Linked DNA regions of Rhinolophus ferrumequinum. The protein of the gene in region 1 interacts with the protein of each later gene in a pairwise test. Links are inferred from orthologs where the notes say so. Each region holds a gene or a part of one and is shown on either strand. Other genes may lie near its edges. The genes, in order: CREB3, EMD, SYNPR and DRAM1.

Region 1 (7,970 bases):
GCCACCCCTCCATCTGTGCACTAGGTCCTCTTTGTTTTTTTTTAAGCAGGAGAAAATGTTTAATAACGTATACCCCATGTATACACGAGACCCAGAAGCTCTAACTCGCTTGTTTTTTGTCCTATTTTTGCAAATAGGACATTTTGTCCTCTCTGTGGACAAAATGCCTGAAGTTCCTCATTAAAACAAATACACACCTCTGCCCTGCCCTGACTTAAACTCTTGCAAAGTCAGTGGTTCTATACTGCCTAAGTAGCTATGCACATAAACCTCACCAGGCAGCCTACATTCTCTCCCTTCTGTCCCAACTCACCTATGTTAGGATTCCAGCCAGACTAACCTGTGCTGTGTTCTCTCTCCCTAAAATGTTCCCCCCCCCGCCCCCCCCCCCCCCCCGAATCCTATCTACTACCAAATGCCATCTGCCCTGTGAGGTCTTTCTTACTCCCTCCTTTTGTCTTTCTTGATACTTAACTCATCCTTAGTTACTTGTGAATTTAATCCCCATTACTGTGAGCGTCTTAGAATCAGACCCACTAAAGGCCATACACCAGACCTTGCATGTGGGAGCTGCCCAGTTGGAAATCAAATGTAGAGCAGGGAAAAGAGTGAAAGCTCATTAAATGGGAGGGATGAGAAGAGACTGAGGTTAGTTGCTTACAGATTCTGTTCTTCCAGGAGCTGTACTTTGTTCTGTAGCTCCAAATTCTGGGCTGTGTATTTCAAGACCCTGGGGGAATAACAGGGATGTGGGGATATGGCCTGTATCCTCCCTTCAAAAACATATCACTTCCAGCTACTTCTGTTCCACCCACCCCAGAGCCCCTCTCCTGTTTATACCTGCTCTCTAAACTCCCCAGGTACACCTTCTTCTTCCTGCGGCTCTCTTGAGCAGACTTTTTATTGCGAATCTTCCTCCGCACTCGTTTCAGAACTTGTTCCTCCATCTGAGATAATACAGGGAAAAGGGGTATCATCACAGAACACTGGACCAAAGAGTTGGAAGGCAACTGAGTAATCTTGCCAATGCACGAATCCCTTCTACAGCTTCCTTGACCAGTAGGCACTTGGCTTCTGGCTAAATGCCTCTGAGGACTAGGTGTTAACACCCTCATAAGCCAGACTATTTTTAACAATTTTATTAATTAAAATTAATCTTCCCTATCCTGAGCCAGTATCTGCTTCGATAATTCTATCCATTGGACTTACCTCATACCTAATCTCGGGAGCTATACAGAACAAATGGTCTTCAGCTATTTTAAGACACTCAACATTTCCTCCAAGCAAAGATAAATCTGGGCAACTTTTTTGGGGGGTGGGATAAAATATTTAACTCATCATCTTACCTCCTCAGGATGGACTGTGTCCTTTTACTCCTTTTACTATCTGTCAAAGATCTGGACTCAAAACTTGGCACTAGGATATGCTCTGACCAGTATAAAGGAGAGCAAGATAGTCACTGCCCTTCTAGAGGAAATACCTCTATTGATACAGCCTCCAAACCCCATTCACTTTCTTAGTGACCATATCACACTGCTGACTCATCTTGTACTTTTAAGAAACTCTTTTAACCTTTCTGTCAATGAACATTGATCTCATCACAGTATCACAATATTATGCTTGCGAGACTGCCACCCATTGCTTCTTGAAACTTAAAACTCAAGATTTTACGTTTATTCTTGTTATACTACTAAGTCCAGTCTTGAACTCTAAAACTTAATTCGACCTTTCAGCTAGATAGATATGGTAATCCACCTAGTGAAATCTAAATGTCAGAGCCCCTTGCTTGCACAGTCCTTTCCAAGTCCCTATACTAACTAATGCACTGGTAATTTTGAATTCTTTCCTACAAAGAATACCAAAATTTGTGTAAGCCCCACAAAACCAGGATCTGCCCCTGCATCCAGTATATAACTACATCCCCCGGCTTCCTATTAGCAGCAAATTTGCTTAATTTCTCACTTTCGTCCTTTAGTAAGTTACTGATGAAAAATTAACAGAATTGGACTACTTGGGACTCAATCCTCACCCCTCCAGTCTTTGATCCACCACTGGGAGTCTTACCTTAGTGAGAGGAAATGTCTCTGGCAGAGTAAGCCCCTCCTGCTCCAATAGCCTCTTTTCCTCATCTGTCAGTATCAGCCTAACAATCTCCTGGGGTTACAGAAAGGTGGGAGGCAGAGTCACAAGGGAGCATGTCAGAGAGGAATGAGGAATCCTGTCTGCAATGTGGGAATAATGTGCAATGTGGGAATAATCCTCCAGTAAACAAAGTACCTGTTCTGCGGGCTCCTCCACATGTAGGGGTGTCATCTGGGCCTCCTCTTTTCCAGAACTCCCACTATCTGCAAAAGGGAAAGTGAATAGCCAGGTTCATGAGTCCCTTCCTCCCCTCAAAATTCACTTATTTCAGACTCACCTAGATCTATAGAAACATGTTCCTGTGGGAGAGAATAGGTGTGGTCATGATGGACCAGACAGGGATTCGAGCTGTTGAGAACGTTCGACGATGCTGGGAAACTCGTCAGGCAGCTCAGGAAATCCTCTACATCCCAATCGCTCAGTGCCTGAACAGGATTCAAATTAACAGGCCTTGACCTACCACCATCCTCAAGAACACCCCGCCCCCCACCTCCCGGGCTCAGAGCCCCCGCCCACCTCGGAAATCGGCAACTCCCAGTCCAGTGGAGCCTCGAAGGACGCATCGGACGCCACCCCCAAATCTCCATTTTCCTCTAGTAGTAAGGCCAACAGGTCCTGGTCACCCGGGTCCAACGCCAAATCCATATGGGCCACCTACAGAAAGAATGGGCACAAGCGCAGGAGTTCACCCTTCCACCCGGCCCCATGCACGACCCTCACCGATTGTGAGTCAGCCCCACCTATCCGCTAGTCCCTATTCGGCCGGCTTTCCCCGTAGCTACTAGTCGTAGCTCTCAAACAAGACCCGCCACCGAGACTCGGTTCTCCGCAGCTTCCAACACAACGGAAGTGACACGCCTACCCCAAAGCATCCCGGGACTTAAAGTTCTCTCTAAACGCGGAAGTGGCTTAGGTGCCGCGCCACGTCCCGGGAGCTATGCAAATACAGGGGAGGTCCCTGCTGCTTCCTCACACCCTGAGGGCGGGCATTCTGGGGAGCCGGCGCCGCCTTTGCCCCAAGCTAGAATAAGGAAGGATCAGACTCCAAAGGAACTGCGGTGCAGTTCGGCCGTTTCCCCGGGACTGCGCCGCACCCTTGCTTCCTGCGGGGGAGGGCCAGACGGTCTTCAGCGCGCTCCCGAGCATCGAGAGCTGGGGCCAGAGCAGCTTCCTGCCGTCCCCCGCAACCATAGAGCGCGGGCCCAGGGCGCCGCCCGCGGGTGGGGGACGTTCCAGGGACGGAAGTGGCCGAGAGTGCCGAAGGGAGGGCGAGGCCGGAGCCCGAGAGCCATCGGGAGAACAGACGGGCTAGCGGGCCAGCGGGCGGGGCACAAGCCGGGCAGCTCAGGTAGGCTGGACTGGGCCAAGGGGGAGTCTCAAGGTGGGGCCTCGAGGCCAGGCCGGGGAGGCGGGTGGGCAGGCGGGGCCCCTAACTCTCCTGCGTCTCCTGTTTCGGGTCTTGTTGGAGGGGTCAGCGTCCAGTGCATCCGGGGTTGGGCTCGGAGTTAGGTAGGCCGTTTTGCGGGAGCCAGGCCCTTCCTGGGAGCAGTCTTCTGTCTGGGATAGGTTTTGGGGAGGATGAGAAGTAGGGTGGTAGTGAGGTGCAGGGTGGGGATCGGCTTTTGAGGTTAGCTGCTAGGAAAGCGTTGGGTGAGTTTGGGATTAGGTGAAATTAGATTTAGGAATCAGGTTAGCTTTAGGAGTTATAGAGCCAGGGTTGAAATTTATAGTTATTAGCCTGAGCCAGGTCCCTTTTATATAGATAAAGTTTGGATTAAGGTCATTATTTTGTTTTCTAGGATGGCCAGAGTAAGTCAAAATTAGAGTTCAGGGTCAACAACAGGAATTAGGTTAGAAGTTCAGTTTCAGGGATTAGAGAACCGTGGCGTATTAGGGTCAAACAGTGAAGGGATGGGTCAGGAATCAACTGACAAATGAGCTATAGGTTTAGGAGTCAACATTTACGGTTAAGGTCAGAGGATCTAGTGCTAAAGGTAAAAATTCTATCAATATTAGGGATCAGGGATTGGATACAGGTATCTTCCCAGGAAGGGATGAATGTCAAAACCGGTATTGGGAAACAGGAAACAAATTAGGGTCAAGGTTAATATTAGAAATTAGGGGCAGTTTTAGAGGTGGTGGTTGAGGTTAGGGTAGTGACTTCAAGCAGGTAAAAGTTACAACATTGGCAGTAGGTGGATGTCCTTGTTTTGCGGTGGTGAAGTCTCTTTTTCCTATGTAGTTGCAGGGGCTTCTTTGACCTAGAGAAATGACAAACTAATTTCACGCCATAGTTCTGGACTTCAGCTAGAATTGCAGGCATCTGGGATTCCACCTTCTTTATTCTACTCTCTAAGCCAAAGGCTCTTGCTATGGCCACCACATTTGAGAGGCAGGGGTTCCCAGACTATGTTGTTTACAAGATAGGAGGTGGGAGACAGGTCAAGGCCTAGTCATAAGTGGGGGACCGCCTAGGGGAGAAGGGACGGGTGACTAAGAGGGAAGTAGAGCAAGGAGACACTGTTGCCAAGGGAAGAAAGGGATGACTGAATCCTCTCAAAGTTCAGCCCCACTGCCTCCTATTTCCTTCATTATCTAGATATTAAGCCCTCCTCTCCAACTCTTCTCCCTGGCCCTGCATTTCACACTCTTCCTGCATATTCCTTTACAGAATACTTACCTTGCCTTTAATTCTCCCATGTTCATCTTACCATCCATTCCTAGCCTCAGGTCTGCCTCCCTTCCTACCTGTTAATCTACACATCCTACCTTAATTTACCTTCACCCAAATCCGAGCTTTCCCATTATTTTACAGCACTCTCCCACCATTTTCACCCACTCATTCACCTGTATACCTCTTAGTCATTTGCTGAATACCCCACCCCCAGCCCAACACAACTGGCAAGTACCCCTCATCCCTGCTATGTGCCATTCCCTGATTCTAAGCCTCCTTAATTTCTTGGTCCTGTTGTAGATCCCCTTCCCCCACTCCCTAAACAGAAAAGAGGAAATGAGACCCAAAGAGGAAACTGGGTCTTGCTGATCCCACGCCCAGGCAGGCCACTGACCACACCCCCTTTTACTCCCAGCCTGACCCTGCCATTGACCACAGCACTATCCCCTACCCAGCCTGATGCAGCCACTGGCTGCACCCCATGCCCTGCCCCACCCCAGCAACTCCAGCTTTACTTAGACACTACCAGTGTCCCTTTACTCTCCCTCCATCCCAGCCTTCCTAATTTAGCTCCTGACCACAGCCCATCTCTTCTCAGCCTCCTGTAGCCTGACCTAGCCTCTGACCTCACTTCATCCTTCCCTGACTTAGCCACTGTCCACAGAACTATTCTTCCTCTTCCCCAGCATAAAGTGGTGACTGATTACATATGTATTTTTTCCTACTGCCATCTTACCCCACGTTTCTCGGTACCTTGTCTTCCCCATTTCCAGTCCAGTTCAGTAACTAACCTTATCACTTCTTTTTTAATTTTAAAAGGAGGCATGTGTATGCATTGTATTTTTTAAATTAATTTATTTTCCAATTACAGTTGGCATACGATATTATGTTAGTTTCCAGTGTGCAACATCGTGATTAGGCATTTATATACTTTACGAAGTGACCACCCCATAAGTCTAGTACTACTTGACACAGGATACTAACCTCATCCCTTTTGCTCCTACGTGGTACCGTCCACATCCCCACCCCCTTTTTCCCACAGCCTAACCACATCCCCTAACCACAGCTCATCCTCACATTCGCAGCTCACCCTGATCCTTTCTTTCCCCCTTCCCAGTTTCTTACCTAAACTCAAGCTATCCCAGCCACTGAGGGGCCACTAATGACAAGAAGCCTGACTTTGGGCCCTGGGCCCTGAGGGGTGACAGGACAGGCTGTCATGAGGTCCTTTTAGTTCTATGTCTTAAAGTTTCCAATGAGTGACATCCTTCTCTCCACTATTCTATTTCTGGCTTCATTACCCCCCACTTGTGCTAATGCAGTGTCCTTCTAACCAATCTCCAAAGTAATTGCCAATTATTTTCCTAAAATCCAGTTCTTGTGATGTCCCTTCCCTGCACACAGCCTCCCTTGGCCTTCTGTTGCCCTCCAGGAGGTAAAATCCCTCATACTTCTCTCTAGTCCTCCCTTGCCTTTCCATCCTAACCCTAACTGCTCCATTGCAGGTACCCTGTGCTTCAGCCAGCCTGTCTGCTCACTTCTTGAATGTTCCTCCATGGTTTCCTGCTTCTCCACCTTTGCTTATGCTATTCTCTCTGCCTGGAATGCTACCCTTGACTCATCTCCGGCTGATGTAGTGGAGAGAGCTTGGGCTTTGGAGTCAGAGAGACCTGGGTTCGGATCCTGGCTTCATACCTTATTAGCTGTGTGATTTTGGACAAGTACCTTGAACAAATTTTTAACTTCTTGGAGCCTCCGTTTCCTAATCTGTAAAACTGGAAATAATGACGCCTACCTTGCAGGGTTGTTGTAAGGATTGCCGAAATTATGTATACAAAGCAATGGACATATAGTCAATAAAAAGATCACTATTATTTTTTATTATCTTTATTTTTTTTTAATTTTAACTTCAAAGGACACTTTTCATGGAGATTTTTTGGTCCCCTTTCCCTTACCTAAAGGAATCACTGCCCTGAGCATACACCTCTTGGCTCTTTACATCCTTCCCTCTATTATAATTCTGTATTTAGCTCATCCACTTAGCTGAGTGGGAGTCCCTTGAGGGCAAAGGCTAGGGCTTACTCTTGGTTCCCAGCCACTGAGGGTTTGGCCCAAGGCCTTCCCCACAACAAGTCTTCAGAAATGCTTGCTAAGTGAATGGAGGGAGAATGTCTACATAATGGAAGAAGAGACATGGGGTGACTGTTGTGCTTGCTGATAGAGGTATATTTGTGGGGAAGCTGAGTGCGTGGGATGGGGTTTTTGACGGAAAGATAAGGTGGTTGTGATGGGATCTGTGTAGGGGCTGCGTGTGTGAGATAACGTGTATGTAGAGACAGTGTAAGTAGCTTTGTGGGGAAGAGCTGTGTGCACAGATGGGCTGGGCTGCATTTGAAGAGAATGAATTTGTATGGATAGGAGAGTAGGTGAGGAGGGGCTGTGTTGGGGGAGGTCAGGCCCAGCCCTTCAGCGCCCGGTCCAGCCCTAAATGAGCCTCCAGCAGCCTGAGGCTGGATATGTCAGTCTCACCCACAACCCTCACCCCCACCCCTCGCGGGTTACAGACTCAGAGGCCAAATTTGGTAACAGGCTGAGTGTTACTCCCCCAACCCTCTTCCATTCTGACTCTGTCTTCAGTGTTCTCTCTCCCTTTGTCCTTCTCTGTGACTCCCTGTCCTTCTGCAACTCCCTTTGGAGGTATCTGCTCTGACTATATTCTCCATGTACCCCAAATTCCTTACCCCCTGTACACTTACATTCCATTCCTTGCTGGGATTTGACCTTCTGTCCTCTATTCCCCCTCCAATTGCCCAACTCCTCTGGAATGCATCTCAGGAATGTCTTGAGGGAGGCGGAGTTCCCTGGGAGGGGGACATTGGGGGAGGGGGTGTTGTTGCTGTTTCATAAAACATGATGGAAAGGGGATCAAAGTTCTCAGACCAGAGCAGGAACGGGAGAGCTTCTCCCTGTGCTTCCAGGGCCCTTGTTCTATGCCCGTATCACCCCCAGCTCACTCCTCAGTGCCCCTTCTTCCTCACCCCTTGTAGCCATGTAGTTGTCCACTCCGGACGAGCCTGAGAGGAAGGGTAGGCATGACTCAACTCCCTTATCGGGGTCTCACCAGAGGTTTCCGTACTTGAGGAAGAAGGGGGTG
Region 2 (7,583 bases), on another chromosome or scaffold:
AATGTGACGATGACACAACACCCACAGCGGGAAACCTGGAGATGAGTGAGGCTAGTCAGCTGAGGGACTGGGTTACCCAGCGTGATAGGGCATTTCAGAATACTCGGAGCTTTTCCCCATTGCATTCAACAAGCAGCTTCCAGGAGAAATGGCCCACCGAGCACGTGCAGCCCTTCGACACCGGGCTTGGCCTCAGCTCTCCCTGCTTAAAATGTCCCAAGCCAGCACTGTGCGTGTACCCTCGCCTGCATTTCCAAGTGGGCTTTCCAGACCCCGTGCTGCTAGTTATTTTCATAACTAGTTATAAGAAGTCTGAGTAATGAGTCAGGGAGTGGACCCCACAAGCAAATCCCAAACACGTCTGTGGGTGACATGTGATCCTTATCCAAAGCCCAGAGCAAAAAGGGAGAACCAACTAAGCCAGGTGGTGAGCCTAGAGACCCAGGGCAGAGCCCAACCCTTTCCCCAGCAGGAAGAGTCCACACATTAAAAACAAACGGTCTTTTTATTGTGTCCACGAAAACAAAGTGAGGGTGGCCTTTGGTTAATCCCAACAAGGTGACAACGAACAGGAGGCATGCGATGACAACAACCATGTTCTCTCCAGGAGCAGGGTCTGGCTCTCCTGGGTCCTAAGGGTCAGAGGCAAGCAGGCCCAGGAGGCTCCTGAGGAAGGTCTGCCCAGGCCCACCATGCTGCAGAGGACCTGAGCCGGCTTACCTTCCTGTCAGGACAAGGCAGGACAAGGCAGGACAAGGCAGGGGGAGCAAGCACTGCCCCAGGCCAGGCCCAGCACCCCCAAGCTAGGACACACAGAAAACCCCCCCTCCCCCAGAAAACCCTCCTAAAGCAGTTGACCAGGACTTCTGAGAGGGGCTGGCCAAAGCTATCCAGACCCTCAGGGCTGGGTCCAGAAGGGGTTGCCATCCTCCGCCTGCATGAAGTAATACACGAAGAGTAGAAAGGCAGCAAAGACCAGGAACAGGAGCAGCAGGCCCCAGAGTGGGACCTGACGGTCCTGGCCCAGGCCAGCCCCATGGGCCTGCTTTTCCGGACGGATGGCACGGCGGGTGAGCCACAAGGGGGAGGAAGATGATGAGGACACCAGAGAGGAGGAAGAGGATGAGGGGAAATAGGACAAGCCCAGGGAACTTCTGGAGATGTTGGAAACAGGGCGATAGTGCGCGATGTTCTGGTAGGTGCCGTCCCGGCCATACATGGGGCGTTCCCTGAGGCAAAGAGGGGAGTAGATGGGCCAGGAGGGCATGGGCCCAGAATCAGCCCCGACCCCTGGCCCGTTCCACTACTCACCTGTCTTTGCCCTCGTCTTCAGAACAGAAAAGGCTGTCATCACGCACCTAAAGAATCAGGGTAAGGAGCATGACTGGCAGGGTCAGGGTGGCCCTGTCATAAAGTCCAAAGTTCCCTGGCGGGCCTCGTCTGATTGTTGCTGAAAGGCCAGGGCTCTGCCCCCTTCCAGAACCCTTCGGAATTCCTGGCCTTATGTCCGTGGGGCCTTGCCACTTGCTCAGTGACTGTCTTGGCTGGCCGCACCCTACTTTCTGCCCCAAGATTATCAGGAAGAGCTCAAACCCAGATCCCAGATCAGGGTACAGAGCATGTCCCATGTGCTCTCGTCAAACAGTTCTGACAGCTCCCCAAAGGAGGGCCCTGACCATCAGGTGTCTACTGCTCCCATCTCTCCCTGGAGGCTTGAGAGCCACCATTTGCACCCAGTGGCCTCCTTGATGTATCCAAACCCAGCTATGCCCCCCGAGGTTGTACCCAAATAGAGGGTGCCCCACCGCTAACTCACCTGGTGGTGAAAGGTGTCCGCATCTGAAAGTGACGCCGAGTGCTGGCGGAAACCCTTGGATGGGCCCATAAACTCAGGCTCCCCGTAAGTCTTGGTGCTCAAGTAACTCTCCTCATAGTAGTCATCATTATAGCCTTGGGAGGGGGGGACAGCGGTAGCAGAGGGGGCAGCGGTGTCCCCTGCCTGGCCCAATGGCCCTAATTTGAATCCCATTTGGGGCCTGTGACACTGTTTCTCCCCTCCAGGGCTGCTGAGGGGCGGTGGGGGTTGAAGTCTCAGGTTCTCTCTGACACTAGGATCCCTGAGGAAGTGGAATGACGTCAGGGCCCACTGCTGCCTTACCCTTGCTCTGGTAAAGTAAGGCATCCTCTTTCTTGGGCAGATCGTACATATCGGAGTCCACAGATGCTGAATCTGAGTCTAAATTGGGGGAGGAGGGGACGCAGAACCATTTGCCCCACGCTCCCTTTTCGCCATGCCCCTCCCTACCAGCGCCCCTGCCACACCCTCGAGACCCCATCCTCCCCATAGCCCAAACCCTGTCCCCACGGGCGGCCAGGTGGGGCTCTGAGGTGGGGGCCTCACCGGAGAACCGATAGGAGAAAGAGGATGAAGACGAGTTCGGGGGCGAGAGCCTCCGCCTCTGGGTCTCGTACTCGAAGATTTTCTTTTCGTAGAGCTTGCGAGTGGAGCCTGGCCAGACATGGGGCGCGGGGCGGTCAGGGGCGCAGGCAGGGAGCCCGAGGAAGGAGTCCCAGGAGGGGGAGCGAAGCGCGGACGGGAGCCTGGGGAGGGGGTCGGGGGGGGGCCCGCAGGGCCTAGCGCGGGGAGGGGGCCCGTCCGCCACCGCGTACCCACGACAGGCCCGTGCGGGATGTTGTACTGGCGCAGCACGGCGGCCAACTCAGCGTCCGACAGGACCGCGTAGTCGTCCATGGCGGGCGGCGAAGGCCTGGGGGCGACCCCGGCCTAGCAACACAGGCCCAACTGCTTCGGAGCGCGGCCGGAGTAACACGAATGCCTCGGGAGCGGCTGCACTCGCGTCACGCCTGCGTCACGCTGGCGTCACAGTCGCGGGCTCTGCGGGCTGCGCGCGCAGGGCGGGGCGGAGCCAGGCCACTGGGAAGCAGCCGGCGCAGACCGGTCCTGCCGTGGGAGTGGGCGGGGCGGGGCTGGTGAGCCTAGACGTCACAAATAGTCAGGATTGGCTAGTGGAGAAAGAGAGGCGGGGCTTGAGAGGGAGCCAAAGCAGAGCGGACCTGTCGGATGGTGGGAGTGGGCGGGGCTGCACGGCCAGGGGAAGGGGCGGGGTCGACGAGCCGTGCGTCACAGGCTGTGGCGTTTGGGCTAGACGGGAGAGAGGGGCGGGGCCTGCACGCGAGGGCAAACAGCATAGACTCGCGTTGACAGGGGAGCGGGGCGGGGCCGCAGAGTCCAAACGTCACCGGCTGGCGAGTTCGGGCGTGAAGCGAGGAGGGACACGGCCGTGCGAGTGGAACTGGCAGGAACCGGCCAGAACGTGGGAGCGGGGCGGGGCCGCGGTGCTTGGAGTGGCTCGCCCTCCTTAAGTTACGTGGGCTCCGCCCGGTCCCTTCAAGCCACCACAGCCCCCATCCCCCAACCTCCAGGGCTCCAACGTTTGGTGTTCCCCGGCCGCCCCGGCAGCAGCGGGAAGGGGCCCGATCCTAAGGGCGAGCCCTTGGACAGCGCGGGTCCCTGGCCAGGCGCTGCTGCCAGCTCTTTGAGCGCGTGCGCCACACTAGGGAAGTGGCCCCGCAGAGCCCGGAACCTAGGACGACCCTCAGGCCGACCCTCAGACCTCCTGCCTCAGGACGGCCTTTCTGCTCTGCTTGGCCCTGGCCTGTGCACCTGCACCCTCGGTCCCCACAGCTTCCCCCGCTACCTGCTCCACCCAGGAGGAAATGGGGCACTGGGCCAGGAGGCCGCCAGCACTCCAGGAGCAAGCAGCCTTGGCAGGGGCCGGCCCGTGCCAATGGGCACTGGCAGAGAGTGCCGTGTGATGCATGCAGAGACAGCGAGTGTCCGCCTGGGGTTGCCGTCCACCTGGGGCACTGGGGGTTTCCTCTCCAGTCTGAATGGCCCCTGAGCACAGCGTGACCCCAGGAGATGGCCAGGCGTGGTCCCTTCCAGACCCAGAGTGGCCTGCTCGGGGGTTCCAGTAAGACTTGGCAGGCTCTGAGCCCCTGGGTCTGGGTGGGCTGCAGTGCCTTGGCAGTGCAGAGTCCCTCCCCACCAGGACCGACCGGAGGGCCAGAGGACCGAGGGGGGCAAACCACAGAAGGCTGCGAAGGCCTGCTGAAGAGCCTGGACGGTCACTAGGAGTTGGTAAGGGCCTTGGTCAGTAAAGAGCTGTCCAGTGGAGATTGGAAAGGAGGTGACATGTTGTAAACAAAGACAGCCAATGGAGTGTGTGGCCAGCTGAGATGCCCCTCCCTGGGCAGGCCCAGAACTGGGAGAATGGGGAGATGAGGTGCTGTCCCTGGTCTTATAGATGATAGCTGGTGACAGGGAAAGCAGAAGTAAGGAGGGCTCTGGTTCAGACCCAGGCTGGCTGAGCCAGCTGGTGAGGGTCACAGACCAGTTCTCCATGGAGGTTTGATTATGGGGTAGAGAAGAGGCAGCCATCCAGGGAGTGGTGAGGAGGTGGGGCTGTGGTTTGGGAACACACAAAGACTCTCAGAAGAGTTGCTGTTGTCTGGGTTGTTAGAGGAAAGGTGAGGTCTGCTCTGTCCCCTAAAATATGAGGAGGAAGTATGTAGGTCACAGACACGTGCATGCATGGCTTCAGAGCAGGGAGGGAAATGGCGTTGGGGTCTGGGCCACTCGAGGCTGCCTCATGGAATTTTGAGTTTTGGCAAGATCGGATTCCCCAGCACCTCTCCAAGCCTTCTTCTGCAATGCTGGCCCATGTCCCAGCGGCTCAGTCCTCCCCCATGCCACCCCTCCCTGTACACATCTAAGCTGTTTCCTTATGAGGTCAAGGAATTCTAGGTTTGCCTTCTCCCCAAGGAACACCCCCTCCCTGGCACCTGCCTCGGCACTCTGCTTTTTATGTCCCACGCCAGTTGTCCCAATATGAGGTCCCACCATCGATGGCACCAGGAGGCTGAACTGTGATGGTCCCCTGCGTTCACCCCATGGCTACCTGGCACCCACGACCAGCCCCGCTGCAGCACAGACCCATCCCAGACCACCAGGAACCAGGACGAACCCTTGACCATCAGAGCTGAGAGTCCCTCTGCAGCACCCCCATCAGGAAGAGGAGGAATTGGGGGGCCAGAGAGGGAGGATACTTGTCCAAGGGCCCTGAGTACTGCAATTCATTCATGGACTGTTCCCTCAGCCAGTACCGGATCCTCAGGTCAATAATCTGGACAGTCTGGCACAGCAGGGGTTCCAAGTCCTCAGCGGGGCTTTGGGGAAAATCTGAGGCCTCCAGGGGAGTCTTCCTGGGAAGGGTGGGCAGAGTTAAAGAAGCTGAGTTTCTGTGGTACTGCAGCCAGGGTGGAAAGGGCTAGGAAGCCGCCGACTCCAAATCAAGAGTAAGATAGTTTCTCCTTTAAGGACAGAGGGGATGGCTTCTAAGCACTATATTGTATAACTTGCAATCCCAGCCAGATTGAAAGTTATAAGGAAAAAGAATATCAACCTGAATATATTTCTCAGCATCCATGTCCAAGGAGATGATTGTTCACTGAGTTATTAATGTTTTCTGTAAGATCAGAATCTTCTTATACTTTAGTACTAAACTTCTCTTCAAGGATGTTAGAGATCCTTTGGATTTTACCTGGTATGTGAATGCTTTGAAACATTGCTCAGGTAGTAACAAAAGTCATAAGATGATGATTATTGTGAAAATGTATGTGTGGATGATTGTCACAATCAACATAAAACACTGAATAGTTAGCTGACCTAAAGTCTCTCAAAGAATGCCTCATGTTCCAACCCTAGAAGCATCGGTTCATGTGGGAGCCGTTGGCACAGCCAGTTGGAGAGTGAGCCTGCCTTGGCAGCAGCAATAGAGCTGATTCTAGTGGTTTTCCAAAACCTTCAACACAAGGAGAAAAAGTCTTTCATTTATGACGGTTATTACCAGGGAACAGTTGGTGCTGTACAAACCTTCGTTCCCCCTATACCTGGAAGAAGGAGAGACCAAGAGCTGTGTGTATTTCAGGGGTGTGTGTGGAGGGCGAGAGAGGCAGTAGTGGGAAGAGAGGATTCACATGGAGGTGGGGCGTCCTGAGATCCAGGCACGTGGCCCGCCTCCTTCGTGTCCCCCAGCTCTTGTACACATGGCAATGCCTGTGGTAGGTGGGTTTCCCTCCTTGAAGGATAGCCTTGGCCATGAGCTCCAGCACAGCCACCTTATGGACCTGAACTCAGGTCGCTCCTCTATCAAGTGATGGTAACCCACCATCCTCTTCAGCTGTGGTGGTGGGCGGGTCCCACCAGAGGGAGCAGTGAGAGTTGGAAATCCGGACACTGCTAGGAGATCCCACCATGGGTCAAGGTGGAAAGGTCAAAGCAGAGCTACCACTAGCAAAGGCAGGAGTGGCTGTAGGGAAGCTTGGAGGGTGATCAGCGCCTTCCTGTTACTGGTAAACTGTAGATCGCCAAATTCTTTTAGCAGGTGTGACCAAGCTTCTTCCTTCCATTTTTATTTCTTTCCTTCCTTCCTTCTTCCCTCGCCCTCTCTTTTAATGGAGTAGAATGGAAAATATCAAAGAGCTTTGCAGGTACTAAGGGAGAGTCTTGTTTTGTGAAATGTTTGTTTTAATTATTTGTGTTTGTGTGTGCGCATGCACATGTTTTATGTGGCCTTCTTCGGAAGTGACATTTGAGCTGAATCTGAAACTACCAGGAAATGGGCAGAAGAGGAAGAGGGAGCCTGGCAGTGCCAGGGCATGTCTGTGCCACCCGGCTCACAAACACTTGGCTCTTTGGCTGCACCTCACTGTACACTCTCAGGCTTTGGGACTGCATCTGATTGTGCGCCTAGGAATTCACCACTGTTCTGCTGCCCCCTCCCTGGACTGGCACCAGGCAGGGGCCAAATCAGTGGCAGCCAGGCTGCTTGTTCATCACCGTGGACTCAGGTCCCTGCCCCACTGGGGCCTTGTGGGTGGTAAGTGCTCAGTGAAACACACCTGCAAAGATCTGTTGTCCCCACCACCCCAGAGGGCAGAATCTGATTTGACTGGCCAGCCCAGGCTTGGGGCAAAGGTAGGGGCAGTGACTGTGGGTGGCTCCCTGGAGGAGGTGGCCTTTCCAGCTGGGTTGAGACGTGAGCCCTGCAGACCCCACGGGCACTTGAGGCAACCTCCCCCCATCACCCCGGCAGCCTTCACCGGGTGGTGAGCTCATCGGGGGTGGGGGGTGGGGGGTGGGGAGCGTCACCAAGCAGCCGGGGCGCTGAGCTCACGGCGCGCCCCCGCCCCCCGGCCACTGGGCGATTTTACCAATTAAGGCTTTTTCGCCCAGCAGGGCGCGGGGCGGGCGCGGGGCGGGCGCGGGGCGGGGGTGCGGCCAACAAGAAGGCGGGCAGCGGCGGCCCATTCGCGTGGAGGCGCGCGGCGCGCAGCGGACGCCAGCGGAGCCCAGAGGCGCCGGGCGCGGGCGCAAAGGCGAGCGGGGCGCCACCCTGCGGTTGTGGGCCGCCCACAGGGACAGCAGGTGAGGCAGGCCTCCGCGGCCCGGGTCCGCGCGAGACGGTCACCGCGCTACTCGCGGACCCGGGGCGGGGGTG
Region 3 (7,990 bases), on another chromosome or scaffold:
CACTTTTATTTCTACAGCATAAATACTGAAAAACAAAAGGACTGTACTTTAAAGACTTTAAATACTACCAACTTTAAAGATGCTCTATCACAGAACTGGAGAAACTGGGATATTTTCAGTGTTCTGTCATTGTAGATTTACACTTTTGGTTGATCATTTACTGTTCACCAAGCACTAGGAAAAGCACTAGTGGGAAACAGACAAATAGAACAAATGTTCTGCCATCTAAGAGATCACACTCTCTCTCATTGCCAAGATCTCCTGCAGGAAAGGATATCGCAGAGTGGCTTTTCACATCACTGCATGCACAAAAAACATGTTTTCTTTCCCTCTCTCCACCGTGTTAAACTTTCTCAGCAACTAACCTTCTATCTCTCTGCTTTCATATCGCCACCTTAGTTCTTTTAAAGTGCTGATCAACTATTTTACTTGTATATAAGGTTTTTTTTGTCCATTATTCAGGTTCTCGTCCACAAATGAGAGGCTAATACCTGATTTAAAAACCAAAAGCCCTTCTTCCTTAGAGCCTTAGAGACCTAGAAGAGAGAGAGGAAAGACTATAAATGTAGTAACTTTTCTATTTCTCTCTCTCTCTCTCTCTCTCTCTCTCTCTCTCTCTCTCTCTCTATCTCTCTCTCTTTCTCCCCCCCCACAAGAAAAAGACACCTGTAATGCAATATGATAAATTCTCATGAATGAATGAATGAATGAAATGAAATGGAAACCCAAAGAATGAGGTGAAGAATTCAGTAGAGAATATGGAAAGGAGTAAACATGATAGAAATCTTCACTGAGGGGGTAGTATTTAAGCTGAGGTTAAAAGACAAGCATTTTTTTTTCCTAGGCTGTGGGTGTGAGGGTATTGCAAACACTGTGAACAGAAATGGCGAAGTCTTTATGGGGAAAAATGCTTTTGAGTTTTGGATGGAGCTTAGGGAGGTGGTCCTCCAACTTCACTGTGCACAAGAATTATCCAGAGAACTTGTTTAAAATGCAGATTCTGGGGCATTCATCTTCTCAAGATTTTGATTAATGTCCAGAAATCTGCGTTTTAAACAAATTCATCCAGGTTTACCAGCCTTTGAAATTTATCAGTAGAGGTTGTGTGGTGAGTAGTGGCATAAAATAATGTAAGAGGATTGAAGAGAATACAAACTAACGTTTCAGGTAAATGACAATGTGAGACAAGAGTTTATGTCAGAAAAATTATGTCAGGTCTTTGAATTTTGTTTTGAGAGACAATGGCTTGGCAATGGAGCTATTATTTTGATCAAAGACACCACTCTTTCACAGGGAATGTTTATTAGATGGCTGAAGGAATGAATGTGGACAGAATTCTGAGACAACTGAAAGTTTCCTGGACTGTGAGCGCTGCTCGATTTGTTCAACTTAGTGAGCTGTAAGGAAAACAGTTTTAGAATAGGCATTCCTGAACCTCTAGCTCAAGATTTGCAAATGCAGTCTTAACATATGTCAAAATGGATATATTTATGCATTTTTATGCAGGTCTGCAAATAACGATTATCCTGTACATCACCCATGTAAACAGGCACCACCGTTGTAAAGCCAGACCGAGACAATAGCCCTCGGAAGGAAGATCTGGGAGAGCAGAACACACTCTTACATAATTTCCCAGCTAGTCAGTGGTAGGGCCTGTGATTAATGCTACGTGACGGGCTTTGAACTTTCTGTTCACAAGGTTCGCTTGCCTCTGAGAGCTCCTAGCAAGAGGGAACGTGTGACCTGCAGATTTCACTCTGAATAACCATCACCCAAGCCAACACCACTAATACTGCTCTGTGGCCCCGTGAGTTTCTCTGCCTCACTCCTCTGTCAACAGACAAGTTAACATACGACTGTCATCAATTGTTCTTTTTTTAAGGGGGCAAAATCTAAGAGTAACATAATCTCCCAAAACCCAGTCAGTGATGCATGTTACACAAAGAAGGCTGGGGAGATCTTCCAGTAAAAATCAAAAGAGTCCGCTAGGACTGGCCAGAGTAGAGAAATTACAACATGGAAGGAAGGAACCCCACTCTCCAGCCCAGTATCTTTCATAGCCTCGCAGCTTCTCTGTCGCTGGAGCTGCAGCGGAGCAGTTGACCCCAGCGCTTCCAGCGTCCCAGCCCAGGCGAAGAGCTGTCCCGGTGCTGACCAACTTTCTGAGGTTGGCTCAGTCCTCCCAGCTACCCCGCTCAGCCCCACGTCCCTCGTCTCAGGCCCTCGCCCCTGAGAAAGTCCAGGTGAGCAGAGGGACCCCGGCGGCAGCCCCTCCATCAGCTCCCCTCCCATCTCCATCTCCCGCGGAATCCTCTTTCATCAGACACCGCGCGTTTGCGAGCGCTGAGGTGAGATAACACCTCGTCTAAGCGCCTGCAAAAATTCGTCCACACCCCCGCCTCCAAAGGGTCCCTCATTCCTGTCCCCGCCATTCCGGAATGGCACCTTGCGAGTGGGGAGGATTGAAATAGGGAGATTGAACCCCAGCTCTGAGCAGAACCAAGCATATAGCACCTCACCCGACCTCTCTTCGCCTGATGGTGGGCCCCCTGGGTCCCCTCCCCGCACAGAAGCGTCTACTTACCAGTTCCAGGGCTCGCAGGAAAGCAAGGGGCTCTTTCAGCGCCCGGAAGGTGCCTGCTGAGGCCAGCTATGGGCGAATGAGACAAGAGAGAGAAAGGGAAAGCATGAGGCAGGGGCTGGGGCGCATCTCCGGAGCCTCGGGGTCCCCAGGACCAGCTGCCCTGCCCCGTTCGGTCTCACCTTACTCACAGGGTCCATAACTCGCCCTGCTCCGTCTTCCTACCCACCGGTTCCCTTTCAAATGAAGTTCGAGGAACACGCCGGAAGCCTCCTCTCGGGAGGAACCGGAGGAGCGAGGCCGGGAGCAGCCAAGCGAGGGCAGGGTCCCGGGAGATCGGGGTGCCGGGCGCTGGCTCCCCGCTCTGCGCTCTCGGCGAAGCCCGCGCGCCTGGAGCGGAGCAGGGCAGCGGAGGGCTGAGGAGGGACGGGCTTGGATGGGGGGGGCGGCCGGGGCGGGAAGAAAGCCAGCGCCGGCAGAGGGCTGCAATTGGCCAGCTGCGAGCTTCAGGGGAGGGCGGGCAGGGGGGCGAGGCAGAGCCACAGGCATTGGTGCGGGCTCGGCCGCGCGCCCCACGCCCTCAGGCTCCGGGGAAACTTTGGGGTCTGTTGATGGAGGAAGGCAGGCTGGTACCATCAACAAGACGGCTTCCTGCCTGACGCAGGGGCTCCCAGGGAACAGAAAGGCATCCACACCTTACACGCGTAGTTGTGTGAGTGCTGGTGACTTGTCTATTTCCCCGAGCCTTCATGGAACGCCCTCCCTGTGGCCAGGCAGTGCCCAGGTGCTGGCATGCAGCAAAGAGTAGGGTGAACACTGCCCCTTCGCCCCGGGGAAGCAGAGGGTTAGGACTCAGAGAGAACGGACTAGAGAGGAGAGGGAAACAAACTCATCTTGAATATGGGACAATGTGCCAGGCAGGTAATCCCTATGGCCACTAGATGAAGTCAGGAGCAAATTATTGTGCCCGTTTTAAAAGCAGAATACAGACGTAGGCCGAAATGGCCAAGGTAATACAACTCATGAGGGGCTGAGCAGTGACTGGAATTCAAGTTCCTTTGAAATTCATGCTGTTTCTACTAAGCTCCTTTGCCTAGGTACATCTCAAATGAAGTCCCTGAATTCATCATAAGTAGGACCAAGCCCCCCTTCTAAAACTCAGATTCTTTTTTTTTTTTTAAGATTTTTTTTATTGGGGAAGGGGAACAGGACTTTATTGGGAAACAGTGTGTACTTCCAGGACTTTTTTCCAAGTCAAGTTGTTGTCCTTTCAATTTTAGTTGTGGAGGGCGCAGCTTCAGCTCCAGGTCCAGTTGCCTTTGCTAGTTGCAGGGGGTGCAGCCCACCATCCCTTGCGGAGTGGAGGAGTTGAACTGGCAACCTTGTGGTTGAACCCACTGGCCCATGTGGGGATTGAATCGGCAGCCTTTGGAGTTAGGAGCACGGACCGCCTGAGCCCCTGGGCCGGCCCCAGATTCTTAATCTACTAACCTTAGTCTAATAACCTTGAGGAAAATAATAAATAAAAACAACAAGAAAACAATTGAGTTCTTTCTATGAGTCAGAAATTGCACTAAGGGCTTATAAACATTATTTCATTAACGATTCACAAAACCCTATGGGTTAATAGTACTATTATTCTCATTTTAGAGATGAGGAAATTGAGGATCATGGAAGGGAAGAGGTCTGTCTGCTCAGGGATGTACAGCTAGTAGATAACGAAGCCAGAGCAAGAATATTAAAAGGAGTCAGAAGAAAGAGAGAGAGAGACAGAGAGAGAGAGAGAGAGAGAGAGAGAGAGAGAGAGAGAGAGAGAGAGCAGAGAAAGCTCTTAGCCCAGTGTAGCTGATATTCCCTTTGGACTGGATTCCATGTATGAAGTGGTCTCCCAGCAACACAGATAGGCCATCTGTTTACTACAAAGATTTGCCAAGGTTTGGAGTTTGTGTGTGTGTGTGGGGGGGGGGGTGGGAGGTGAGGGGTGGGGGGTAGTAACTAATATTTGAAAGTGGAGAAGAAAGAAATGAATCATTTGCAGATTGGGAAGGGGAGGCAGAAGGCCAAAACTGAGTATAAGAGAGTGTCCAGTGTAGATGCCCCTTGTCCATGGATTTTGTTAGAGAAAAACTACTAATTTAGTCAGGACTCCAAAGGGCTAGTTGCACCATCTTCAGTCAGCCAGTTTTATTCCTACTGTTCTTCCTACATGCAGAAAGAGTCTAAAACAATTAAAAATGTTGTTTCAAAAATAAGCCATTATGCAACCACAAGTGGAGGGGGAGAGAACTAACATTTCCAAGTACTTAGTGTGTACCCTGCAATTTATGTATATAATCTTATGCATAAAGTTACTTTGTCTCTTCAATACCCAGTTTTTGTTGTTGTTGTTGTTTGCATTTTTTTAAATCTGAAAGATGGAGCCGTGGCACCCATCTACCTTGGCTGGTTATTAAGAGGTCTTAGTGAGATTTTGTAAATTACATGTGTAGGGCAGAGTCCGGCACATCATAAACTCTCTACATGTGTTAGTTACATTCCTCACTGCTTACACTTCTACAGATGCAAAGATGAAGGCCCAGAGGGTCACATTAGAGACTGGTGCATTGTAGCACTGACCTGCCACTCTCTGCTGAGCCCGTCTCATATATATCCCTGATCTTTTGAACTCAGGAGTTGTCATTTTACTTATTTTGGCCAAGAAAATGTGGCCAGAGGTGATGTGTGCATTTCTGGACAGAAGTTTTAAGAATCTCTCTGTGACTTGCCCTCTTGTTTATTTGTCTTCTACCACGTTGAATACAATGTGTTACATAGTGGCTACTTTGACAGCCTGGTCCCAGCCTAAGGATGATGTAGAACAAAGGTGCAACTAGACCTTAATGGACTCAAACCTGAGCAAGAAAAGCATTTGGGGTTGTAACAAGTGAAATTTTTAAGTCTTTTGATACTGTAGCACAACATATAATAGTTCTGGCTGATTGAGCCAAGAGTTCAAACAGCTAGTAAGTAGCTGAACCAAGATTCTACCCTGAGTCCATATGAACTCATTGATAGTGTATTCTTGCTTTTTCCATGATAGTCAACTAGCTTATGGGGTATAACATCTCCTGTATGTTTGATAATGATGCTAATGATCATAATAGCTAATAATTCGGTTCCTGGTACATGCCAGGCATTGTGCTAAGTGCTTTACAGACATCATTTAAGCATCACCAAAACCCTCCCTTTAATGGATGGTATTTAAGGCTTAGAAAGGCTAAGTAACTTGCCCCAGGTCATCTAAACATTTGTATATCTTTGGACAGAGAGAGTGATTTATTTAAAATATTTCCCATTTGCATTTCATTTGAGCTGTGAACTTGGCAGAGATGAAGTGTGATTATTGAGCCTATTCCCTCAGGTGTCTCTTCACACCTAATGTTCCTTCTTGCTAATATGGTGGCAAATGTTTCCAGTCCTACAAACACCACGTGAAGGAAGCCAGAATTGTGGCAAATGAGAGTATGATAGCTTAGACAACAATTGCACATTGTCAGAGATGCTTTCCACGTTCCTGAAATGCATGAGCTTCAAACAGCTGCATCACGAAAATAACCCAGAGTTCCATATCACATTTGCAATGTTAAATATTTTGTTATCTTTGGGATAAGAACCTTTATATTCAGACATGGAAATAACACTGGGTTTCCTCAAGAACTAGGTTGGGAGAGGGAGGAGGGATAATGAAAATACTGCCAAAATATTACTCTCAGTGGCTAAGGGGTGACCCCTTCTCTTCTTTCCCAAGGTGGCAAAAGGTAAGTTCCCACTTACTATCACAAATCTATTGCATTGGCTCAACAATCACATTAACTTTTGTGGGGTATAAATGATCTCTATTGATTATGTAAGTCAGATAGTTTCCAAATTCCTTTTTTTTTTTTTTTCTGCCAGGGACTTATAGTTATGAAGACTTTCTTTGACATGCCAAAGCAATCCATTAATTTACTGCAGTGGTTCTTAACAGAGAACGATTTGGGCCCTTCCTTTCCCCAGGAGTCATTTGGCAATGCTTGGAGACATTTATAATTGCCACAACTGGGGGTTGGTGCTACTGGCATCTAGAGCTGAGAGACCAAGGACGCGCTGCTCAACATCCTACAATGCAGAGGAGAACTGCCCACAACAAAGAATCATCTGGAAAATATCAAGAGTGCCACGGCTGAGAAACCCTGACTTCTCTTTAAACAAGTAAGGACTGCATGCCTATTATGTGTTGGTACTGTCCTAGGTACTGTAAACAGCTTGACAAAATTTCTGCCTTCACAGGGCTTACATTTTAGTCGGATATACTCAGCTCAGCATTTGCCAAACAAGCAAATAAACAAAATTCAAATTATAAAAACAACCATTTTGAATCACAAAGAGGATTAACCTTGAAGCAAAACTACAAAAAACCAAAGTACCAAGCTATGGTAGACAGACCTGCATTATTCAGGCAAATTAAATCTCGTTTTCAGGAAAAAGCATACCTGGGCTTCATCTTCTCATGTCTCTGATGGCAAGGAGGAAAAAGTAAGTTAAAATGTTATCCATAGCAACTTAATATAGGAGGAAATACTACACATATGTTTAATTACTTAAAATACTGGAAATAAGAATTGAGTAGAAGTCATTCAAAATATTACCTATTTTACTCTCTGCTCATACTGTTAACATGAACTTTCCAAATCTTTCCTTAACCAGTGACTCAAGCCAAGGCCAATAACATGTCTGTGTAATTATTTGTTTGCTTATTCGGTTTGCATAGGGCCACTGAGACACAGGACAGGAGGTGGTGTGGAAATATTTTCAATAACTCTCATTTTATAATAACTACAGCATTCTCTTTCAACCCAAAGATCAAATAAAGTCATCTTACTTATTTGTGTTTCAACTTAAATGGCTATCATAAAATGTGCAAGCATGTGTGTGCATTTGGTATAAAACTTCATCATGAAATAAGGTTCCATAGAGTTCCTATGGAATTCTTAGCATTCAAATAGGATCGTTCTTAAATAACAATTGTAACTGATATAAAAATTCAAATGTGGATGGTCAATGTGAACTTGCATCATAAAATACTTTTACTATTTCTATGTCAATCTTTGTTTTAAACAAAAGGTATCTGTGTAAATTTGGCCAGGCTTGAATACATGCAAATTAGAGGACCAAAACTCATGTCAAAAAGATTCACCCCAGGGAATAATAGTCATAACAGTAATCAGAATAATGACTCTTGAGATGTATAAAGCAGTAAGTAGATGCTGGATATAATGCTAAGTGCCCCCACAGGCATAACTCATTTAATATCCTCATCAGCCTTATAAGTATGCACTACTGTTTCTCCCCTCGTGCAGATGAGAAACACAGGCTCGAAGAAATTTAAAA
Region 4 (7,342 bases), on another chromosome or scaffold:
GGGGTTGGGGGGTGGGAGATGAGGGTGAGGGGGATCAAATGTACGGTGATGGAAGGGGAGCTGACTCTGGGTGGTGAACACACAGTGTGATTTATGGATGATGTGATACAGAATTGCACACCTGAAATCTATGTAATTTTACTAACAATTGTCACCCCAATAAATTTAATTAAAAAAAAGAAAAGAAATAAAAATAAAAATATGATAACCAAAAAAAAAAAACTTTATTGCTAAAAAAATGCTAAGCATCATCTGAACCTTCAGCAATTCATAATCTTTTTGCTGTTGGAGTTGGTCTAGTAAAGTAAATTGAAAACCTTCTGGAAAGGATTCACCATTCTAGATGATATTGAGAACATTTGTGATTAATGGAAAGAGGTCAAAATATCAACATTAAAAGGAGTTTGGAAGAATTTGAACCCAACCCTCCTGGATGACTTTGAAGAGTTCAAGACTTCAGTGGAGGAAGGAACTACAGACGGGGTAGAAATAGCAAAAGAACTAGAACTAGAAGTGGAGAGTGAACATGAGGCTGAATTGCTGCAATCTCATGGTAAAACTTCAACAGATGAGGAGTTGCTTCTTAAGGATGAGCAAAGAAAGTGGTTTCTTGAGATGGAATCTACTCCTGGAGAAGATGCTGTGAAGATTGTTGAAAGGAAAACAAAGGGTTTAGAATACTACACAAACTTAGTTGAGAAAACAGTGGCAGGTTTTGAGAGGCCTGACTCTAATTTTGAAAGAAGCTCTACTGTGGTTAAAATGCTATCAAACAGCATCACGTGCTACGAAGAAATCATCCGTGAAAGGAAGAGTCAATCGATGCGGCAGACTTCATTTGTGTCTTATTTTAAGAAATCGTCACAGCCACCCCAACCTTCAGCAACCACCACCCTGATCAGTCAGCAGCCATCAACAATAAGTCATGTTTCACAATTATTTATGTGGGGACAGAGTCCCAGAGAGCAGTTTCCAGGCTCTCGACCTCACGTGGAAAGGTGCTGGCTCGGTTATTAGACAGCCGTCAGCTGTAATCAGATGGCCGTCCGCTGGGGCTGGGTGGCCATCAGCTGTTACCGGTTAGCCATTAGCCACTAATATAACTGCTGTGGCTACGCTGGCAAGGGGGTTGGTTGGTTGGCAGAGAAGCGGGCGGCAGATTGTGTCTCCTGCTTCCTGTGTTTCCAACCCAGCCGCCAGCGAGAGCATAGTGGTATGACTCCCCTATCTATGGCTCTGTTGGTGTTCCTTTTTGGCCTCACCATATCCTGTGTTCTTGTGCAGGGAGCGGGAGCTGAGTCCCTGCATGACAATTTATGTTGTTATGTAATATTGTATAAGTCTTCAAATTGCATAAATACATACACATGTACAAAAATAAAATATAACTACATATATTTTAAGGCATTTCCATCTGTAATTCTGGAGTTTGAGGAATTAGGAGAGTGAGACAGTTCTTCACAATTGTTAGGATTACAGGCTCATGAGTCAGATAGACCTGGATTCAAATTCTGCCTCTCCATTCATTAGCTGCCTCTCCATTCATTAGCTGCATGACCTAAGCTCAGTTTCCTCATCCATAAAAAGGGGATAACACCTGCACTTTGGGATTCTTTAGATGAGGAAGGACACTCACTGCCTTTCAATAAGTGGTGGCTACCAAGGAAGAATAACTTCATCCTCAAAAGGACAGTCCTTTGAAACCCTTACTGAGTCAGTATGACTTCCTTTGACAGTGAGAAAGTCAGGAATCAATTCAAGGGGAGAATCGCACTTTCATTATATATCATCCTAAAGGTACCCGGTGTAGGGGAAGAAAAATATTTAGGTTCTCAGTGGGTTCTCTGTTAACATGACAAAGGAAAATGGTTTTAGGCTGGGGGGGGCAGTAAACTGGGAAGGTAAACATATGGGGGGAAGGTAAACATATGGGGGAAGCTAACTCAGTAAGGTTTGTTAGCAAATTCCTCTGGTGCCATCTCTGGGCTAAGAGTCTAGAGCAGTATAAAGGAAACTTATACCCTGCCTTTAGACAGAAAAGGAGGAGGAGGGTAAAGAGAGCTCTTCCTGCTTTTGCTGGGCTTCCTAATTGCCTTACAACTCAAAGTAATTATGTCAAAGAGGCATATTTTGGGGTGACATATTTTGGTTTCCTTCACCAGTAAGGTTGTTTTCTAGGACTTCAGCATTTTGTACCTGTTGATGTAAGAAACATCCACACCTGCAGAGAATTTTCACAAGAGTTTTTGTGAACCAAACTGAGGACATATGCCAGGGAGTCAGATCTTAACTGCTCCAGAAAATAACAGTTTTGCACTTTCTTTTATGCATTTGAAATTAAGGAATGTAAAAAAGATTACTTGGAGGTGGGGGAAAGCAAAGTGGGGATTGGATTACAGGATAGTTAACAAGATTATGTGCTCTCTTTGAGGGCGGTTAAGGCTTATTTCAAAGAGATATTAACTTAGATGCACAGAAACAGTGGACAAGGCTTACTTAAGGCAAAGATAAACCTTTCACTAAAGAAGTTATATGCCTGAGGCATGACCTGCCCAGTTAGGAATTTATGATCAGATCGCCCTGGGAGGTTACTTTCCATAGAACTCCTTTTCTCATCCACGCACCACATAAACTTTACTATTCCAAGGAGAAGGTGTTATAAGGTCTACGGGACCGAAAGCTTTTAGAAGAGGAAGCAGTGCAGTGCTTCTCAGGACTGCTTGATATCATACGTACATATATGTGTAGTTAGTTACATACCTATTTTAAGTGTATACACATATACATACTTATTTTAAACAAGAAAATACCTATTGCTGCTATAGTCAGACGCTTGTAATTGCTTGTGTTAAAGGTGATTAGCCAGCTGGATTACTTAAGGGAATTGCATAAGCAACAGAAAGACAAGACAATCAGGTGAATTCCATTTGATGTCATAATTCCTCTGCCTCAGGGAGGGCTTTTTAAATCAGATGAATCAGTAGTAGAGAAGGAAAGGAGAAAAGGAAGGGGACGGAAAGAGAGTGATTTTCACAACTTAGAAACCTAGGTAGAGATGTGCAATGGATCACCATGGATGGCAGCTTTTGTGATTTCTAAAAAGCCTTAATTTAAAGCATTTGTTTTATTCGATATGGTGCTCACTCACCCCAAAGCCACAATGATCTGAAATATGAGTCTATCCATATTCTTACACTCTCCTCACTACCAAAAAATAAACCAAAACACAAAAACAAAGATTCTTAGCAGGACTCTGGTGACATGGCCTGTTCGCCTACCTCTCCATTCCCTGTCTTACACTTATCGGAGTGCTGTTTTAGTTCCAGAAAAACAAGCAATTTCACACTCTATGCATTTTCTCCTGTTTCCTTGGCCTGGAATGCTAGTCTCACCTTTCTTTGCCTGATGAACAATCATTTACTTTGGGAAACTCTTAACATCGTCTGTCAGGAACCTTTTCCTGGTTCTTCGTCCCAGCGCTGGCCCCTGCCTCTCAGCTCTGTGCATATCTCTGTTTTATTTTTTTAATCTCCTCTTATCTATTTAATGTTCCATACAATATTGTTTTATTTTGAATGTCAGTTCTCTAGATCCCATAGAACTATTTAATCTTTTGTATCCTGTCCCCTAGCAGGGTGTGACAACCGAAAACTTTATGCAGCTGAAATGAACCCATGTTTGGTCACCAATGACCCACTCACCCCCACCACATACCTTCAGCTCAGAATCCCTAAACTATATCTCAAAATCACCATGCTTGCAAGTGCCTCCAGGACATACGTCCCTTTTACAGAGTTTGAAATGTATTAAGTCACCTGTACTTCTCTTAGATCGTGTTTCCCATTCCTGGGCTAAGCTTGTTCAGTGAGAGGAGAAAGGGAAATCTAATTCCTAAGAAACAAACACTCCAAGCCCACTTTGGTGTAAAGCAGAACTGTGGGCGGCACAAGGGGCCACCCAGCCTGTCTAGAGCTCAGTCCCACCCAGGCTCCCACCAGCCCCCACACTCTCTTGGTTTCCAGGTGTACACAATCCAGGTGCGTGTCACATCCGTGCCGCGCGTGGCCTGGTGAACGTCACCGAACACTTCTCCCGGACCCCTGCAGCAGTAATAGCAGTGCGACGGGATGGGGTGGATGTCACCACGCGGTGGTCACCGTCTCCCCCGAGAAGTGCAGGCGTTGGGACCTCGAAGGGGAAGCCCTGGGTGTTCGTGGTCCCTTACCCCGGAAACCCCCAGGGAAGGAGGGGCTGGGAGGGGTTGATCGGTTTCTCCGGAGTTGCGCAACCCGCAGCTCCCAGAGGCGGGCATTCATTCCCGCCCGCGTCCCCGGAGCAGCCCGCCGCGCTGACCCCTGCAGAGCCCGAACCAAAAGCGAAAGGAGCCGCGTCCCCGCTTACCTGGCGTCGCGTCCACGGGGTGGTCGCCGCGCTCCTCCAAGTCGGCGGGGTACCGCTTTGTGACTTCACTCATTTCGCAACAAGCCCCGGCCGCCCGGACCCCACCCACCCCGGCCCGCCGCCTTGCCTTCCAAAGCCTCCTCGGGTCCCCGCGCTTCCTCTCGCTCTGCGGCTGGGCCTGCCCCCGCCGTCGCGGAGCCTCCTGTCCCGCAGCTCGTGGCTGTCAGTGCGGGGGACGCCGCCTGGCTGGCCAGCACGTGGCGGCGCCCGCCCCCCCCAGCAGCCAGGAACAGCCCGGCGTCCCGACCCGCTGAGCGCAGCGCATTCCCGGCGGCGCGATGCTGTGCTTCCTGAAGGGAATGGCTTTCGTCCCCTTCCTCCTGGTGACCTGGTCGTCCGCCGCCTTCATCATCTCCTACGTGGTCGCCGTGCTCTCCGGGCACGTCAACCCCTTCCTCCCCTACATCAGGTGAGGGGCAGGGTGAGCGGAGGACTGGGGACCAGGCAGAGGCACCACAGGGAAGCGCTGCTGATGGGGAGGACGGGGGACCAGACCCAGCTGGGGTGTCTTGTGGAAAGACCGAGGTCTGAACACGAGGAGAGGAGAGTATGCACCCTGGCAGATGTGTAGGGACGCAGGGGGTGCTGGAGCTAAGCAGTTCTGACTTGACGCAGAACACAGTGTCATCACGAGGGGTTCGGGAGAGACAGGAGAACTTTCAGACTGGGTGCGGGACAGCATCTCTAGAAGACGCGTCTTTGGCGATATTGAAACAGGACCTGATGGATGCTGTTTATTGAGAGTGCAAGTTGCAGATCCAGGTGTGCGCTAAAACAGCTCACATGTTTCACTTCTGCTTCCCAACATCCTCTTGAAGTGGATGTCTGGCTCATTTTTCACGAAAGGAAACTAAGTTTAAGCAGATGTTGAAATACCATCAGTGTGACACTGATGTCACAGCTAGGAAATGGTGAAAGCAGAATCCACGCCCAGATCCATTTCATGCCAAAAGCTACACTGTGGTACCTCCAGGTCATTGGGGGTCAGGGTTTCGCTCTCCTGGATGGAGCTGCCCAAGATCCCTCTGGGTTCTGTGCCCCCAAAGTCAGAGCCCTCAAATTGTCAGCTTGTGACATCCCTTGTGTTGTCTCATGTGTGTTTCTCATGAGTTTTGGCCTCCACCTTTTTAGGGTGACTTCATCAGTGCCCAGGACACACGTCCTGATCCTCTCCATGTGCCTCCCAACTCGGTGCCTTGCTCATGGCAGTGTTTTTTTTAGAACAATTCATCTTTATCCAAGAGGTGTGACTCCTCTGGATCTGTATTGGCTGGTGAGGGGATAATAAAGTTGGTGACACCCAGTGTTTGTAGAGATTATAGATTGTAGGGCTTCTCCTTTCTGCAGCCATTCTGCCTTGTGCACAATATTCTGTAATATGGGTCAGGAAGGGAGTGAAGATGAAGCAAGAAGAGACTCGAGTTTAGAGATGCAAGGAAGAGCATTCTGCAGAATGGGGCAAATATACAGTATTGATGCAGAAAGAGGGGCTTCTTGCATCAAGCAGACTTTCTCACTAGGCCTTGTGCCCCTGCAGAAACCTGGGCTTAGTTTCTCATGGCTCAGCTCAGTCCCAAGTGCCACTGTGTCACTCCTCCGGATTCTGAAGCAGCATAGATCCTCTTAGACTTGTGTAAAAACTTCTCTCCCTGCCATGCTTTTTATTGAGAAAAGAGTAGCTGTATTTGTCCCAGATCTGAAGGTCAGGGACAGATAATATTTGTCTCGCATTGGCGAGGCAGTCAGAGGCAGGGTTTGAGTGTTTGTAGAGGTGTCTGATATAGTTGTGATTAATATTACCCCAAGGTGAACCTGAAATGGAAGACATTCAGAAATGGGGAAATGAGCTGACAAGACAACCACTTGTGAGATGCGCAAATCACAGACATTCCAAGGGAGAGGGTTTAAATTTAACAAGGAGAGAAAGCCTTTAGAAAAAGAATTACAGGAAGAAAAGGCATGAGATTGTTCCCTTGTTGCCAGGAGCCATCAGTCTACAAACAACAAACGTGTATTTCTTGCTCACATGTGCCTGAGGCTTTGCAGTTGTCTGCTTCCCTGTAGACAAGAGCAGCTGGCGCATTGAATTGCTCCTGCCCCTCCTAGAAAACCAAGTCACTGAGGCAAGGACAAGATGTAGGTAGATAAGAGCTAGACAACAGGACCTGGTGGAAGTAGTGCCAAATTTGTCAGTTTTGCCCAGAAGTGTTGGCCCTTATATCCTATAAGTCCTCTCTGCTCTCACTACCTCCTATTCTTCTTTACCCTCACTCCCTCCATTTCCTCCAACCACACTGGTTTCCTTTCTGTGTCTCACACATGTCAGGCACACCTCCTTCTCAGGGCCTTGGCACTGATTATTCTTCTGCCGGAGTGTCCTACCTCCAGATTTTGCCCTTACCTCCTTTGTTCAAGTATTATTTCAGTGAGGCCTGCTCTGATAGGCCTATGTAAAATTGCACCCTAGTGCGCTTGATCCCCCATACCCAGTCTTACTAGTCACCAAAGCTCTGTCACCTTCTAACAAACTATATGATTTACTTATTGTGTTGATTACTTGTCTTCCTTCTCTGGAGTGTAAGATCTAGGAAGGCTCTCAACATTATTTGTTGAATTAATATTTCTCAGGCACTCACTGTGGTTATTGTATTCTTCCCCCTCAAGCAGGCCAGTTCCCTTCAGGGAAGGCCTGAGTCAATCACTGGTGGTTGGTCAATGATTTGGATGTACAGATGCTCCTCGACTTTGGGGTTACCTCCTGATAAACGCATCTTAAGCTGAAACTATCGTAAGTTGAAAATGCGTTTAGTAATCTAACTTAACTCTTTCACTGCATTAAATGGTTTCAAGTTTTTTCTCCAAAATGTATCAAAAATCGACA

The links.
Region 2: the proteins of CREB3 (region 1) and EMD interact in binary tests that used the Homo sapiens proteins (3 or more experiments, as listed by UniProt). The two-hybrid records come from large-scale screens. The link is inferred for Rhinolophus ferrumequinum from reciprocal best matches to the Homo sapiens genes CREB3 and EMD.
Region 3: the proteins of CREB3 (region 1) and SYNPR interact in a two-hybrid assay, tested with the Homo sapiens proteins (2 studies listed by BioGRID and IntAct). The link is inferred for Rhinolophus ferrumequinum from reciprocal best matches to the Homo sapiens genes CREB3 and SYNPR.
Region 4: the proteins of CREB3 (region 1) and DRAM1 interact in a two-hybrid assay, tested with the Homo sapiens proteins (2 studies listed by BioGRID and IntAct). The two-hybrid records come from large-scale screens. The link is inferred for Rhinolophus ferrumequinum from reciprocal best matches to the Homo sapiens genes CREB3 and DRAM1.

The regions. Positions count from the first base shown.
Region 1 is NC_046295.1:51,910,927-51,918,896, reverse strand, and holds the start of CREB3 (cyclic AMP-responsive element-binding protein 3), read right to left. Parts: upstream 3,002-7,970; 5' UTR 2,883-3,001; intron 2,797-2,882; 5' UTR 2,788-2,796; coding exon 2,659-2,787; intron 2,568-2,658; coding exon 2,420-2,567; intron 2,346-2,419; coding exon 2,278-2,345; intron 2,155-2,277; coding exon 2,065-2,154; intron 948-2,064; coding exon 841-947; intron 731-840; coding exon 662-730; intron 1-661. UniProt on the Homo sapiens protein: Endoplasmic reticulum (ER)-bound sequence-specific transcription factor that directly binds DNA and activates transcription. Plays a role in the unfolded protein response (UPR), promoting cell survival versus ER stress-induced apoptotic cell death.
Region 2 is NC_046284.1:6,245,693-6,253,275, forward strand, and holds EMD (emerin), read right to left. Parts: upstream 2,902-7,583; 5' UTR 2,753-2,901; coding exon 2,671-2,752; intron 2,510-2,670; coding exon 2,402-2,509; intron 2,237-2,401; coding exon 2,159-2,236; intron 1,951-2,158; coding exon 1,817-1,950; intron 1,359-1,816; coding exon 1,312-1,358; intron 1,230-1,311; coding exon 899-1,229; 3' UTR 502-898; downstream 1-501. UniProt on the Homo sapiens protein: Stabilizes and promotes the formation of a nuclear actin cortical network. Stimulates actin polymerization in vitro by binding and stabilizing the pointed end of growing filaments. Inhibits beta-catenin activity by preventing its accumulation in the nucleus.
Region 3 is NC_046300.1:57,381,169-57,389,158, reverse strand, and holds the start of SYNPR (synaptoporin), read right to left. Parts: upstream 3,014-7,990; 5' UTR 2,782-3,013; coding exon 2,764-2,781; intron 2,651-2,763; coding exon 2,585-2,650; intron 1-2,584. UniProt on the Homo sapiens protein: Intrinsic membrane protein of small synaptic vesicles. Probable vesicular channel protein.
Region 4 is NC_046293.1:17,428,512-17,435,853, reverse strand, and holds the start of DRAM1 (DNA damage-regulated autophagy modulator protein 1), read left to right. Parts: upstream 1-4,336; 5' UTR 4,337-4,739; coding exon 4,740-4,870; intron 4,871-7,342. UniProt on the Homo sapiens protein: Lysosomal modulator of autophagy that plays a central role in p53/TP53-mediated apoptosis. Not involved in p73/TP73-mediated autophagy.